Ovis aries: one gene and its partner. The protein of the gene in region 1 interacts with the protein of each later gene in a biochemical or structural test. Links are inferred from orthologs where the notes say so. Each region holds a gene or a part of one and is shown on either strand. Other genes may lie near its edges.

Region 1 (5,877 bases):
CGCTGCAGGGCCCGTGCCCAGGCCAGAGACATCCCCCAGGCCCCTGATAGGGTGGGCGCTGGCTCCCTTGGGCCGGGGGCTCGCCTCTCTCCCCCAGGATACCCCGACTCTGCCCTCCCCTCACCACGCATGGGAAGACGAGAGGTGGAGGGCGTCAAGCGGCTGAACCTCAGGAAGGAAGAGAGAAAGCCTTTCAACTATTAAATCTGTTTAGTAAAGACAATTTTGCTCATACAAAACGACAAGAGTTCACAACAGTCTGAGAGCTGGGCGCCGTCAGAAGCGGGGAGGCGCTGCGGGCAATCGGTGCCTTGCCCTCGCACCCCGAGAAGGCCCCGGGCACCCCCAGCCCTGCCCGAGGGAGATGAGAGCTGAAGCACCACCGCCCCTTGCCCCAGGGACCGCGGTGCAGGGGCCCTCCCCACAGTGCTCAGGTTAACACGGGGCCTCCCCACCCCACACTGGCCTGGACACGTCGCTGAGTTGTTTGGGGCGGGGGGCGAGGGAGCAGCTGGTGAGGGAGCAGTTGGTGGGAGAGGGGCAGAGTCGGGACATCTTTGGTGCAAAGCCTCCCCCACCCGCCCGCTGGGCGGCGCCATGGACACTTGCAGAGGCCACGGGGGGTGCCATGCTCGCCCCCAAGGGACTGTGGACCGACAACCCGGAGCCCAGGAGGCACTCAAAAGCCAGGCTCACCCACGTGGGCTGAGGGCGGGCCTGCTGCAAAACGGCTGCAGACATGAGAGAACACCAGCAGGTTAAGAACGGCAGGAAGGGGGCGCAGAGGCCTGACTTGACAGCTCGGCGCCTTGGCGGAGGGTTCCAAGCGGGGCTCCAGTCTTCCTGGCGCTGCGCCAGTGCTCCATGCGCCCTTGTCTGCGCGGGGAGCGGCCCACACAGGCGGGGCCGGCGGCCTGGCTCAGGGCCAGACAGGCTCCCAGGCACTTGGGCAGGCCCAGCACGGGCAGGGTGGGCCTGGGCAGGGGAGACGGTTCCGAGTGCGGCAGGGGCCCCGCACACGCACACGCACACACACTCACACTCACTATCCGTCTGGCACACCGGGGACATCCGAGGGCTCAGCAGAGCCTCCGGGCCTCAGGCCCCACGGTCTGCAGCTCCTGGCAGGCCTCAGCCAGTGGGAACCTGGGGCTGTAGCGGGGAGGTCAGGGGGCCAGCGGCGCAACGCAGGACGCCCCTCAAGAGGGTTCCACAGACACCCTAGGACACACCGCAAACCCTTGCAGTCTCCAGACAGGACGGGGCTTGGGGTACACGGACGGGAGTGAGGGCAAGAACAATAAAAGAAGGTTCGTAAAAATTCTAAGTCAAATTACTGATAAAATTGCCAAATGAGCATAGGGTCGAGGGCACGGTGCTCCCTCTCCCCGGGGCCCCAGCCTCCCGGGCGCCCCCTCTCAGGCAGGTGGCCGGAACCGAAGGCAGAACGCAGCCTCTGAAGAGGTCCTGGCCCCTCGCGGCCGAGGAGGAGGGGAAGCGGGAGGAGGCGGCTCTGGGTCTCTGTTTAAAAAATCCAGCCGGGTGGATAGTTATTGCTTGTCCTCCAGCGGAGCGGCAGGCCCAGCTCAGTGAGCGAGGGCTGCGGCTTCCAGGGCCCGCGCTTTCTTCCGCCTCTTCAGAAGGAGAGGGTTGGACGCATCTTCAATCTTTTTTATCTTGATCTGCTCGTAGTCGACCCGCATCGTGGCCAAGGCACTGGTCATCTCCTCCTGGGGGTGGCGACCGGGAGAGACATCAGAGACCACAGACGGAGCAAGGCGAGGATGGGGTGACGTGCGGGAGCGGAGACAGAGGGCAAGCCGGCCGGAGAGCCCAGGGCCGGCTCAGCAGAGCCCCCCTAGGGCCCAGAGCCCCCCAGCGAGCCTGGGGGAGCAAAAAGGACCGACTAGGAGCCAGGAGACCTGGTCTCACGTCTGCTCCAGCCAGTCATTAGCTGGGCGACTGTGAACAGGGCACGCCCCCCAATCCCGGGCCCCACCCAGGCCTCAGTTTCCTCCTCTGCAAAGTGAGGAGACTGCAGAGGACCTTTCAGAGGCAGAGTGTAGGCTGGCAGGAAACGGCCACAGCCAACTTTAGACTGACACAGAAGCCTCTGCCCACAGCCAGGTTAGGGAAGCGGCTCAGAGTCGCTGTGGTACCAGATGACACGGGGTGAGAGGATGCAGAACCAGCCGCCTCCCTGAGCACCACTGAACCCCCCGGCCAGGCGCCCCCTCACCTTGACGTCCTCCCACCTCTCCTTGTCCTCCTTCAGGACCCGGCTGGTGTGCAGTGGGGTTTGAGGGACCTTCGTCGATTGCTGGGGGCAGAGACAAGGGTCCAGGTAAAGACCTGGAGCGGGGCGGGGCCCCCAGGGACCGGCCCAGTGGACCCAGGCGCCTCCAGCCCGCCGGGCTCACCATGATCCAGGGGTGGTTCATGAACTCGGTGATGGCCATCCGCTGGGTGGGCTCGGTCTTCAGCAGGTTCCGGATGAGCATCTTCACTGCGGGGGGAAAGCAGGGTGCTCACAGGGCCCAGAGACAGCTCAGGGGCTACCCGCCCCTCCTGCTCCTTCCCAGTTTTCAGGGAGAAGCCAGACTTACAGGGGGCATGGACATAGACCACTCAAGATGCTTGGCCCTGAGGAACACACACACACACACACACACACACACACACACACACACACGCGCGCGCACAGGAACACACACACAGGAACACACACACACGCACGCACGCACGCACGCGCGCGCTCTTTACCTTCCTCTGATACTTCTGACCATTCTGGGTTGGGGAATTCATACTGGCCCATTCGGATGCGACTCTTCATGCCCGGAGAGATGGCAAGGCCGTGGTTGGAATAGAAGGGGGGGTACCCACACAGCCTGAGCCGACAGGAAGCAGGAAGAGAAGAACAGAGCTGATGTTATTTAGGTCCCACACCAGGACTTCTTGCAAAGTTCACAGAGAAACTGAGACTCACTGATTCAGGTACAAAGTCAGGGACAGGGCCCAGGAATCCAACATACCGAGTATCTAAACCACACATCTTCCTGCCCATTAGCCAATTCGTAGCAATGAGCTGTCAGAGTCCACTCAGCACTGAGAAGGGACACGCAGGACCCCCAGGGCACCCCATCCAGAAGGGGACACTAAGCATGGCCTCTTCCTCTCACCCCAGAGGCAGAGGCTTCGGTCCACGCCTGCCCAGCCCGCGCCCCCAAGCCCCGCCCCACACTCACAGGATGTACATGATGACGCCCAAGGACCACATGTCGCAGGACTTGTCGTACTTCTCTGGGCCCAGCACCTCTGGAGCTGCAAACAAAGACGAAGGCAGTGGGCCTGGGCCTCGGAACACCAGGATCCACCCCGGCCCTCTGTGGGTGATGTGCCCACCCGACCCTTCAGCCCATCATGACGGGACTGCAGCTAGGCCTAGAAGGGGGCAGTCGTAGCCCAGGCCCAGGGCTGGGTAAAGGAGACCCGAAGACCCTCCTCAGCGGGGAGCCCGAGGGCCAGAATCTCAAGATAAAGCAAGTCTTGAACTGCAAGAGCGTTTTAGACTGCCTTTTAGTTTGACAAACCCATTTTGAGAGTTTCCCCTGTGCAGTCGGCTGGGGGCCCCAGACCAGAGGCACATCCCTGACCCCCCTGGGGGTCTGACGGGAACAAGAGCTCTTCTCAGTGAAAGTGCACATTGGCACAAACTTCCACCCATAACCCCACACACATAACTTCCCATACCACTTCAGGCCCAGCGAGACCTGCTAAGCCCACTTCAGGTCAGGTCACATCAGAACCGGGCTACAAAGGGCCGGCAGACACAATTCTTCTGGGCCCTGGGGCCCTGAGACCAGCAAGAGGAGGCTGTGGGAGAAGCTCCGGGCAAAGACGGGCTCCCAGGGTTTCTCCAGACTTACCCACGTAGTATGGTGTGTAACAAGGAGTGGTCAGAGAGTTGTGACTGGTGGTTTCCTTGGCAAAGCCAAAATCAGTGAGTTTGAGAATGGCATTGGGCCTTTTGGAGGTGTATAAGAGATTCTCGGGCTAGAGAGAGAGAGAGAGACAAGGAGCATCTCTGCTGAACCTGTGAGCGGCCATCAGAAACCCGCAGGGGAATGATTCCTCCCTTCCTTCCCGCCCTCATTCAGCAACCGTCTGTCCGGCCCCTATGATCCGTACACCATCGGGACCCTCAGCCCCTGCCTCCCCAGATATCACAGCAGGCGTGGGAGTAAGACGCTGATGCAGAGACAGAGTGAGCGCCACAGGGACACAGACCAAAGGTGGGGTGTGGGGGGTAACTGAGGAGCACGGCCTCAGAAGGCTTCCCGGCCGGGAGGGGGATTTGCCCAGAGGACAGGGCCTGCGGGGCAGAGAGGCGCTCTGCCCACTCTGCGGCAGGAGCCAGGCTGCAAGGACGCAGGACAAGCCTGGGGACCCTTCCGAGGGCGACCGTGGCCCTGACCCCTACGGCCTCCGGGCCCCCTGGGTTGGGGGCTGGGTGGGCAGTAAAAACAGCTGGTACCTTGACATCCCGATGGGCGATGTTGATTGAGTGCAGATACTGGATGGCCTCGCCGATGCTCTTCATGATCTCTGAAGCCTCTGCGGAGGAGACGGGAGCAGGGAGCCAGAAGCCAAGTCACAAGATGCGTCCTTAGGTTTGAAAAGCTGAGGCAAGAGCCCTCCCGGGAAGCCTAAGGCCCCTGACGCCCCCACCCACCCCAGAAGGCGAGGTGCAGGAGCGGGCAGAGCCCCAGCAGCAGGTGGGCAGCGGGCCTGAGCACCTCCCTGGGAGCAGGCCCCTGGAGCCCCGCTGCCCCGCCGCCCAGCTGGGCCCGCGACAGACCCTTTCTACCTCTTTCCGTGAAGGCTTGGTCTCCTCGGTCCTGGATTCGACTGAACAGTTCTCCGCCATCCAAACTGAAACAAAGCCACAGTTAGACTGAGGCCGTGACATCGCACTAGCGCGCAAGCCACTACCCTCCAAGAAGAACGAGGTGCTTGCATGCTGAGTTTCAGCGCCCCCAGCCTGCAGTCCTGGGAAGGAAAGGGGACCGGGCGGGGAGCAGGGTCGGGCTGCTCACCACTCCATGACGATCAGCAGGCACTTCCGCCCCGCGTACAGGTTCTCGTAGACGTCCACGATGCGCACGATGTGCGGGCACTGCGAGGCGCGCCAGTGCAGCTCCACCTCGCGGCGGGCCTTGGGGCAGTCCTGCAGCATCTGCAAGCCAGACCTCCTGAGGGAGCACGGGGGCTGCCCCGCCTGCACCTCCCCTGACCCGGCCCATGTGCCCGTCAGCCCTCACCGGCACGCCACTGAACCCTGCCCCCACATCTGCACCCCGCCCGCCCCGGCCCATCAAGTCCCCTGCCCCAGCCCATTGACGCCCCACCCTGCCATCCACCTGCCAACCCCGGTCCGCCCAACCCCCGCCCCAGCCCATCAAGTCCCCTGCCCCGGTCCATCAACAGCCCCTGCCCCGGTCCATCAACGGCCCCTGCCCTGGTCCATCAAGTCCTCTGCCCCAGCCCATCCACCCCCTACCCAGCCCAGCACCAGCCCTCTTGTCACAGCCCTGCACCCCCTCCCAAGCCTGACTTGGGGCCCTGCAGCTCTCTTTTCTGCTCTAAAAGAAACTTCAGGGTGACCCCTTGTGAGGTCTCCACAGCTGACTGGAGACCACCCTTGACCACGTAGGGAAAGACGGTTGGTCCTCTCCCCAGCTAAAGGCATGAAGTCTACTCCAAAAGGCAGGCAGGGCTGAGCACTGGGAGGCGGAGAGTACAGGATGCCTGGGTGGGAAGAAAGACTGACGAACATCCAGATAACCGCAGAAAGGGGCCTAGAGAGGGGAGCCTCCA
Region 2 (6,343 bases), on another chromosome or scaffold:
ATTACCTCATCACTAAGAAACTGCACGAAACCGCTCCCCCCACCCCCCTCCTCGAAGCGGGGACGAGAGAGAGCAAACAGCCCTTTAAGAAAGAAACCTACATTTGAATGATTTAAATTAAGGTGGATGGAAGTTATTTCCCCTTCTGGCGCTTGCCAGATTTCAAGAAAAGCTGAAAAATGGGAGCAGGGGGAGGGAAGCAACAGGCAAAAGAAGACACCAAAAGAAGAAAAGCAAGGGGGCAGCGGCCAGGTTAAAAATGGGGGCCATTAACTTAAGTCACAGGGGACAAATAAAAGCAGAGCGGACTGGGGATCACATACATTGCACATACATTGGTTCATGGCTGCAGCAAAGGTGGTGTGTTTCATGAAGATGGAAAAAAAAGACAACAGGTTCCTAAAACAGTTGTGATTTGGAAGGTTTCCGGGTTTGCTCGGAGGCCGACAAGTAAATAAGAAATACAGTAAAAATATGTGTGGTGGTGGAGGCGGCGAGAGTGCGACTCCAGCGCTCTGCTCCGCCCGCCCGGACCTTTTCAAAGAAACGTGCTCATAATGGGGTGACCTAATTACATCGCAATGGAACCCGCTCTTAGCCACTCAGCGCACGGGGTTTCATAACAGACCCGGCGGCCTCGAGTGCTGGGAAGAAACGTGCGAGGGCTGAGGAGGCGGCCGGGCACGCGGGGAAATAGGAAAGAAACGCAGCCCCGCGGTTTCCACCTCGGTCTGTGGGGGACGCATTCGCAACTTTTTATTTGGGTGGGTGGAGGGGTGTCCGAACAAACAGTAAATAAATATATACTTTCCAATTTTCAGAAGAGTAATTGCCAACTCGAGGCCTTTCGGTTTCGAGGATCCCATGCCCCCTCCCCCCATCCCGCCAAAACAGCGCAGTGTGACAAGCCATATGTTCCATTCCCGTGAGGGCGGGGGAGAAGCAACAGTAAGTGTCGCCTCCCCCCATCTTTGTATCTTCATTCTTACCAAAGTAACTTTTTTTTTTTTTTTTTTGGTTCCAGCGTCTGTGGTGTGTATACGTGTTGCTTAGGGAGTTTCGGGCGCAGCCTGTGGTTCAGAGCGCGGGGCAAGTTGTGCGTTGCTGGGTGATTTTTTTTCGGGGGTGGGCAGAAGGGCGTTCGTGAGGATTCAGGTTTGTTTTAGAAAACTATTTAAAGATTACTGCGTGCAATAAATACCACTCCCAGGCCTGTGAAAACAAACAGCCCGGGCGGGGGTCTTTTTCGTGGAGCATCCCCACCACCCCGCCCCCCCGGCCCCCCGCCCCCCCGCCCCGGCCCAGACTTGGAGGGTGTCCGCTGCACAGCGAACGCCAGTGTAGACGCGAGCGGCGCGCGAAATCGCTTGGTGCTCGCCGTCGCCAGGCCCGGTCCTCCAGGGTGTGTGTGTGTGTGTGTTTTGGGGGGGAACCTCCTTAATCCTTGTCCCTCACCCCACCCCTGAATAAACAAAACCCTAGACGTGAACGCTCTGTGCTCCCCGTATTTCCAGTTTCCTCTCCCCGTGGGATTTGCGGAGGGGAACCAAGGGCTGAAAAGATCCCGGGGAAAGAGCGAAGTTGTGCGGGAACTTAGAGAAGTTTCAAGGGAGATCGGCACAAGATGGAAACCGGGCGCTTAGGACGGGCTTCTGCTCCCGCTAGCAAAAAGAGAAAGTCGAGCCCGCCTTCCAGCCCTACCAAAAAAAAGAAAAGAAAAATAACAACACAACAACAAGAACCCCGAAGAGTGTGGAATGAGTGATGTCACAGAGCAGCGCTCGCAGGCTGACAAAAGGGGGGCGCCCCTTCCCCACCCCCCGCGCCGCGCGCGGCCCCAGAAAGGGGCGCCGGCAGCCCGAGGTAGACAGGCGAGCGGACTCGAAAGTTTTCCTCTTTAAGAAAAAAAAAAAGTTGTGCGCGGCTCGCAGTGGGTTTTTTTTTTCCCCCCTCTTCGCCTTCTTTCCTCGTCTCCCCTCCCCCCTCTTCCTTTTGAAAGTTTCTTTTTTTTTTTTTTTCCCCCGAGTTTGACCGCATGGCTGATTCAACTTCAGTGTCAATCAACTTTTTTTTCTTCTCTTCCTCATTTAAATAAGTTTAAAGCTCCTCCTCCCCCTCCGGCCCACCAAATCTGAAACTTATATAAATTGGGCTTCGCGCGCCGCAGCTCGGGAGAGTCGGAAAGGCGAGGGGCGCCGGGAGCAGGCGTGTGGGACTCCTGACCGGAGAGCCGGAGGCTGCGCCTTCCCCGCACCGGGACCTTCGCGACACACCAGACCCTCGTCCCTGCCCCGCGCGAGCGCCCAAGATGACCACCACCCTCGTGTCTGCCACCATCTTCGACTTGAGCGAAGTTTTATGCAAGGTAAAGTGGGGCGCACCGCTTGCTTTTCAAAGTCTTTTTTCTTTTGTCCTCAAAAAGAATCTCCAAAAGTTTAGGTCTGGACGGGCAGGGGTGGGGGAGAGAAAGAGGCGAGATGGTGGTTTTTTCCGCCTCATTTTTCTCCCCAGTTTGAAGGAATTTGGCTTTCTCCTCCCCACCCTTTGCGTTTCGACTGTTCTGGCGGGGATTACCTGGGAATCCAGAGACCAGAGTTTTAGGGGCGCAGTGTGCGTGGGGGCTTCCCTGGGCAATGTTTGGGATTGGGGCAATTTTTCGGTAATTCTTTTCGTCCGTGACGTGCCACTCTTGAGCCCGGCTTCGCTTGTCCGCTGCGTTTCGGGTGTCGCCGCTCCCGGGAGGGAGTTCGAGTCTCTCCAGCCACTTTGCCGGACTGCAGGTCGGGAGGTGCGGGTCCCTCGGGAAGGAGAATCTCGGGATGATGTTTTGCTGGGTGATTTCCCCCTCTGTTCTGGAGAGGCTGGGGATCTGCGAGAAAAAGGCCAAGAGTTGTGATTCAAAGCATGTTGTCAAACGAGTTTGCATTGGGACTTCAGTTCGCCCCAGCTCGACAGGCTTCCTCTTGTGATAGCCGATCGTGCTGCAGACTTTGGGGGTGAAAGTGGCGCTCGGGTTCACCCGCTTCCCTCTTTTCTGAGAAAATGAGATTCGTGGATATGGACGGGATTGGGGGGGGGCGGTGGGGGAGACACGACGACAAAATGCCCGTCTGAGCTCTAGGGTCTTGGCGAGGAAGGATTTAATGAGGGCCTCCTTAAGTCGTATGGCTTGCCAGCCGGTGTGGAAAAAGGCGAGTTTTAAATCCGAAATATTTATTCCAGAAGTGCAGTTTAAGGGTATATAACAGAAGCCTGTGGATGTTAGATTTTTTTTTTTCGCCCCCTCTCCCCGGTTTGAAAGAGAGAAGCTGCTTGGCTGCTTTTAATTGCTAAAGTGTTTTGCCTTCTTTTAAACACGTCGAGTCATGTTGCTGTCTTTTCCTAGCTTGCTTCTCCAGTCGGTGCAGCTGCCAGGGCCCCAGGGCTGCAGAGTTGGGGTGCAGGGACACCCTGGAGCTGAAGAGCAACATCAAAAAGTTTGAATTTCAGTTTCCTTCCCTCCCTGTGCTTTTCCAAACTTCAGTTGCCCTGGCGGCTGCCTGAGCTAGCCGGCACTTCTTCCTTCTTTTCGCGGCTCTCTAGCTCTTTGATCTATTTCTCTTTCTCTTGCTCCCTCCCCCCTCAGGACTTTTTAAATGAACCTCATTGTTGGGAACTGGCTCTCCACTTGGTTCCTGTAATCCGCTCCAGGGGGTGGTTGCTGTTACAGATTCCCGATCCCCCGCAGCTGATCCTAAGGGGCCAACTTTAGAATTTGCACAATGACACCCACATGGGCCTGGAAGCCAACTCCCAGGTCCCCTGCTCACACCCTTTCCAAATCTTGAGTACAGGTTGGGCAGGTGAATTGAGTCCCATTGGAACAGAGACCTGCCTGTGGTGCCTCTGCCCCCCGCCCCACCTCCCCCACGTCCATTATTGACTGGGAGGAGGCTGGGGGGATTTGGTGCTTTCCTTTTCCTTCCCACCTGCAGCTTTGCGTTAAAGATTAAACACTGGCGCTCTTATCCAAGCCTGCTCTTGCAGCCAGGAGACTAACTGCAAAGGCATCCTCTCAGCGGAGGGGGTGGGGTGCGCAGTGAATGGTGGGAGAGATCATTGTAGAAGGCTCCCCTTCTGGGATCATGGGAGTTTTGTATTCAGGGATCACATCCCTCTCCCCGTAGCCGCCCCCCCCCCCACCCCCATCAGGGATTTCTCCTCTAGCCCCTCCCTCTCCCCTCTCAGCAGCAAGGTAAAGTGAAGGCAGTCTGGAAACCTGTTGCCAAAGCAATAGATGCTTCTGAAGGAGGAAGTTGAGAGTCTTCGGCCAGGCTGTGTGTTTGTGTGTGGGGGGCGGAGGTAGTCAGTTAAGCAGGGACTGATTGAAAGGAGACCTAGCCCATAGTCTCCTGCGGTTTACCTTTTTTTGTTAGGAGGGTGGGAAATGAGAGTTTGTGAATTGTGTGAGATATTTTCAACTGAGGAAGGTGAAGTTGGATTTTCTGGATGAAAGTGGTAGCTTTGGGGACAGGATATGACAGTGCATTCCAGGGATCCAGGGACTGGCATGGAGTAGGTGCATGTGTGAAACAATGTCTCACATAGGCCAGGATTTTTGTAGTTTCTTCTGCCTGGGACCAAAGTAAACCCTCTGGGGAATGGGAGAAAGAGGAGGAGGGGGCTTGCCGGCGGAGAGGTGAGGATGGTGAGTTCCTTTGAGAGGGAGCATTTCTGATCGAGGAGGGGGCTGCCCTTAGGGGGTACTCTTCTTGGGCCTGGTGGATGGCCTTTGCCACTAACCACAGTCTCTCTCCTCTCTTTCCCCTCCAGGGTAACAAGATGCTCAACTACAGTACTCCCAGTGCCGGGGGTTGCCTGCTGGACAGGAAGGCGGTGGGCACCCCTGCCGGCGGGGGTTTTCCCCGGAGGCACTCGGTCACTCTGCCCAGCTCCAAATTCCACCAGAACCAGCTTCTCAGCAGCCTCAAGGGTGAGCCAGCCCCAGCTCTGAGCTCTCGGGACAGCCGCTTCCGAGACCGCTCTTTCTCAGAAGGGGGCGAGCGGCTGCTGCCCCCCCAGAAGCAGCCGGGAAGCGGCCAGGTCAACTCCAGCCGCTACAAGACGGAGCTGTGCCGCCCCTTCGAGGAGAACGGAGCCTGTAAGTACGGCGACAAGTGCCAGTTCGCCCACGGCATCCACGAGCTCCGAAGCCTGACCCGCCACCCCAAGTACAAGACGGAGCTATGCCGCACCTTCCACACCATCGGCTTCTGCCCATACGGGCCCCGCTGCCACTTCATCCACAACGCCGAGGAGCGCCGTGCCCTGGCCGGGGCCCGGGACCTCTCTGCTGACCGTCCCCGCCTCCAGCATAGCTTTAGCTTTGCTGGGTTTCCCAGTGCCGCCGCCACCGCCGCTGCCACGGGGCTGCTGGACAGCCCCACATCCATCACCCCACCCCCCATCCTGAGCGCCGATGACCTCCTGGGCTCACCCACCCTCCCCGATGGCACCAATAACCCCTTCGCCTTCTCCAGCCAGGAGCTGGCGAGCCTCTTTGCCCCTAGCATGGGGCTGCCCGGGGGTGGCTCCCCGACCACCTTCCTCTTCCGGCCCATGTCTGAGTCCCCTCACATGTTTGACTCTCCCCCCAGCCCTCAGGATTCTCTCTCGGACCAGGAGGGCTACCTGAGCAGCTCCAGCAGCAGCCATAGTGGCTCAGACTCCCCTACTTTGGACAACTCAAGACGCCTGCCCATTTTCAGCAGACTTTCCATCTCAGATGACTAAACCAGGGTAGGGAGGGACGCCCCTGCCTACTCCCCTCCCCCACCCCCTCATCCCCTCCCGACATCCCCTACCCTTACCTCCCTCCCCTTCTGATTCCTGACAAACCCCTACATTAACAAGGTTAAGCTCAACCCCTTTCCCCCAGAACCTTGGAATGCCCCCTCCCTCTCCCCTCTTTACACCCCACCCCCCAACATAAGGACAAGTCAGTTTGTCAGTAGCTTCCTCTGGCTTGAACCCCCTCGATTTTTATAGCCCACTTAACCATGCATAACAGACAAGTCCCATATTTGTCAGTAGATGCCTTTTTTTTTTTTTTTACCCCCGCCCTGGCTTAAGCCTTAAGTGCCAAATCACAAAAGAAAAAGCAGTAACAGTTTACAGAAGCAACTTAGTGCCTTGTAATCTAACTTTGTCACTGTGACTACATTACCTCTTCAGCGCCAGAGGGCACCCGTGGGCCTCCCCAGAGCCTCTGCCCAGGGGGAGGGGGAGGTGGGGGGGGGCATGTAGAACCAGCAGCTCCCTCCACTGGCAACACAATTGCACCTTTCCTTAATTTCAATCTCCC

Evidence for each region.
Region 2: of the proteins of MAPKAPK2 (region 1) and ZFP36L1, one has a biochemical effect on the other in vitro, tested with the Homo sapiens proteins (2 studies listed by BioGRID). The link is inferred for Ovis aries from reciprocal best matches to the Homo sapiens genes MAPKAPK2 and ZFP36L1.

Annotation. Positions count from the first base shown.
Region 1 is NC_056065.1:4,330,112-4,335,988, reverse strand, and holds the end of MAPKAPK2 (MAP kinase-activated protein kinase 2), read right to left. Parts: intron 5,237-5,877; coding exon 5,097-5,236; intron 4,933-5,096; coding exon 4,868-4,932; intron 4,615-4,867; coding exon 4,535-4,614; intron 4,054-4,534; coding exon 3,927-4,053; intron 3,322-3,926; coding exon 3,246-3,321; intron 2,889-3,245; coding exon 2,764-2,888; intron 2,507-2,763; coding exon 2,421-2,506; intron 2,321-2,420; coding exon 2,240-2,320; intron 1,731-2,239; coding exon 1,587-1,730; 3' UTR 192-1,586; downstream 1-191. UniProt on the Homo sapiens protein: Stress-activated serine/threonine-protein kinase involved in cytokine production, endocytosis, reorganization of the cytoskeleton, cell migration, cell cycle control, chromatin remodeling, DNA damage response and transcriptional regulation.
Region 2 is NC_056060.1:78,698,991-78,705,333, reverse strand, and holds the start of ZFP36L1 (mRNA decay activator protein ZFP36L1), read left to right. Parts: upstream 1-2,170; 5' UTR 2,171-2,308; coding exon 2,309-2,365; intron 2,366-4,812; coding exon 4,813-5,772; 3' UTR 5,773-6,343. UniProt on the Homo sapiens protein: Zinc-finger RNA-binding protein that destabilizes several cytoplasmic AU-rich element (ARE)-containing mRNA transcripts by promoting their poly(A) tail removal or deadenylation, and hence provide a mechanism for attenuating protein synthesis.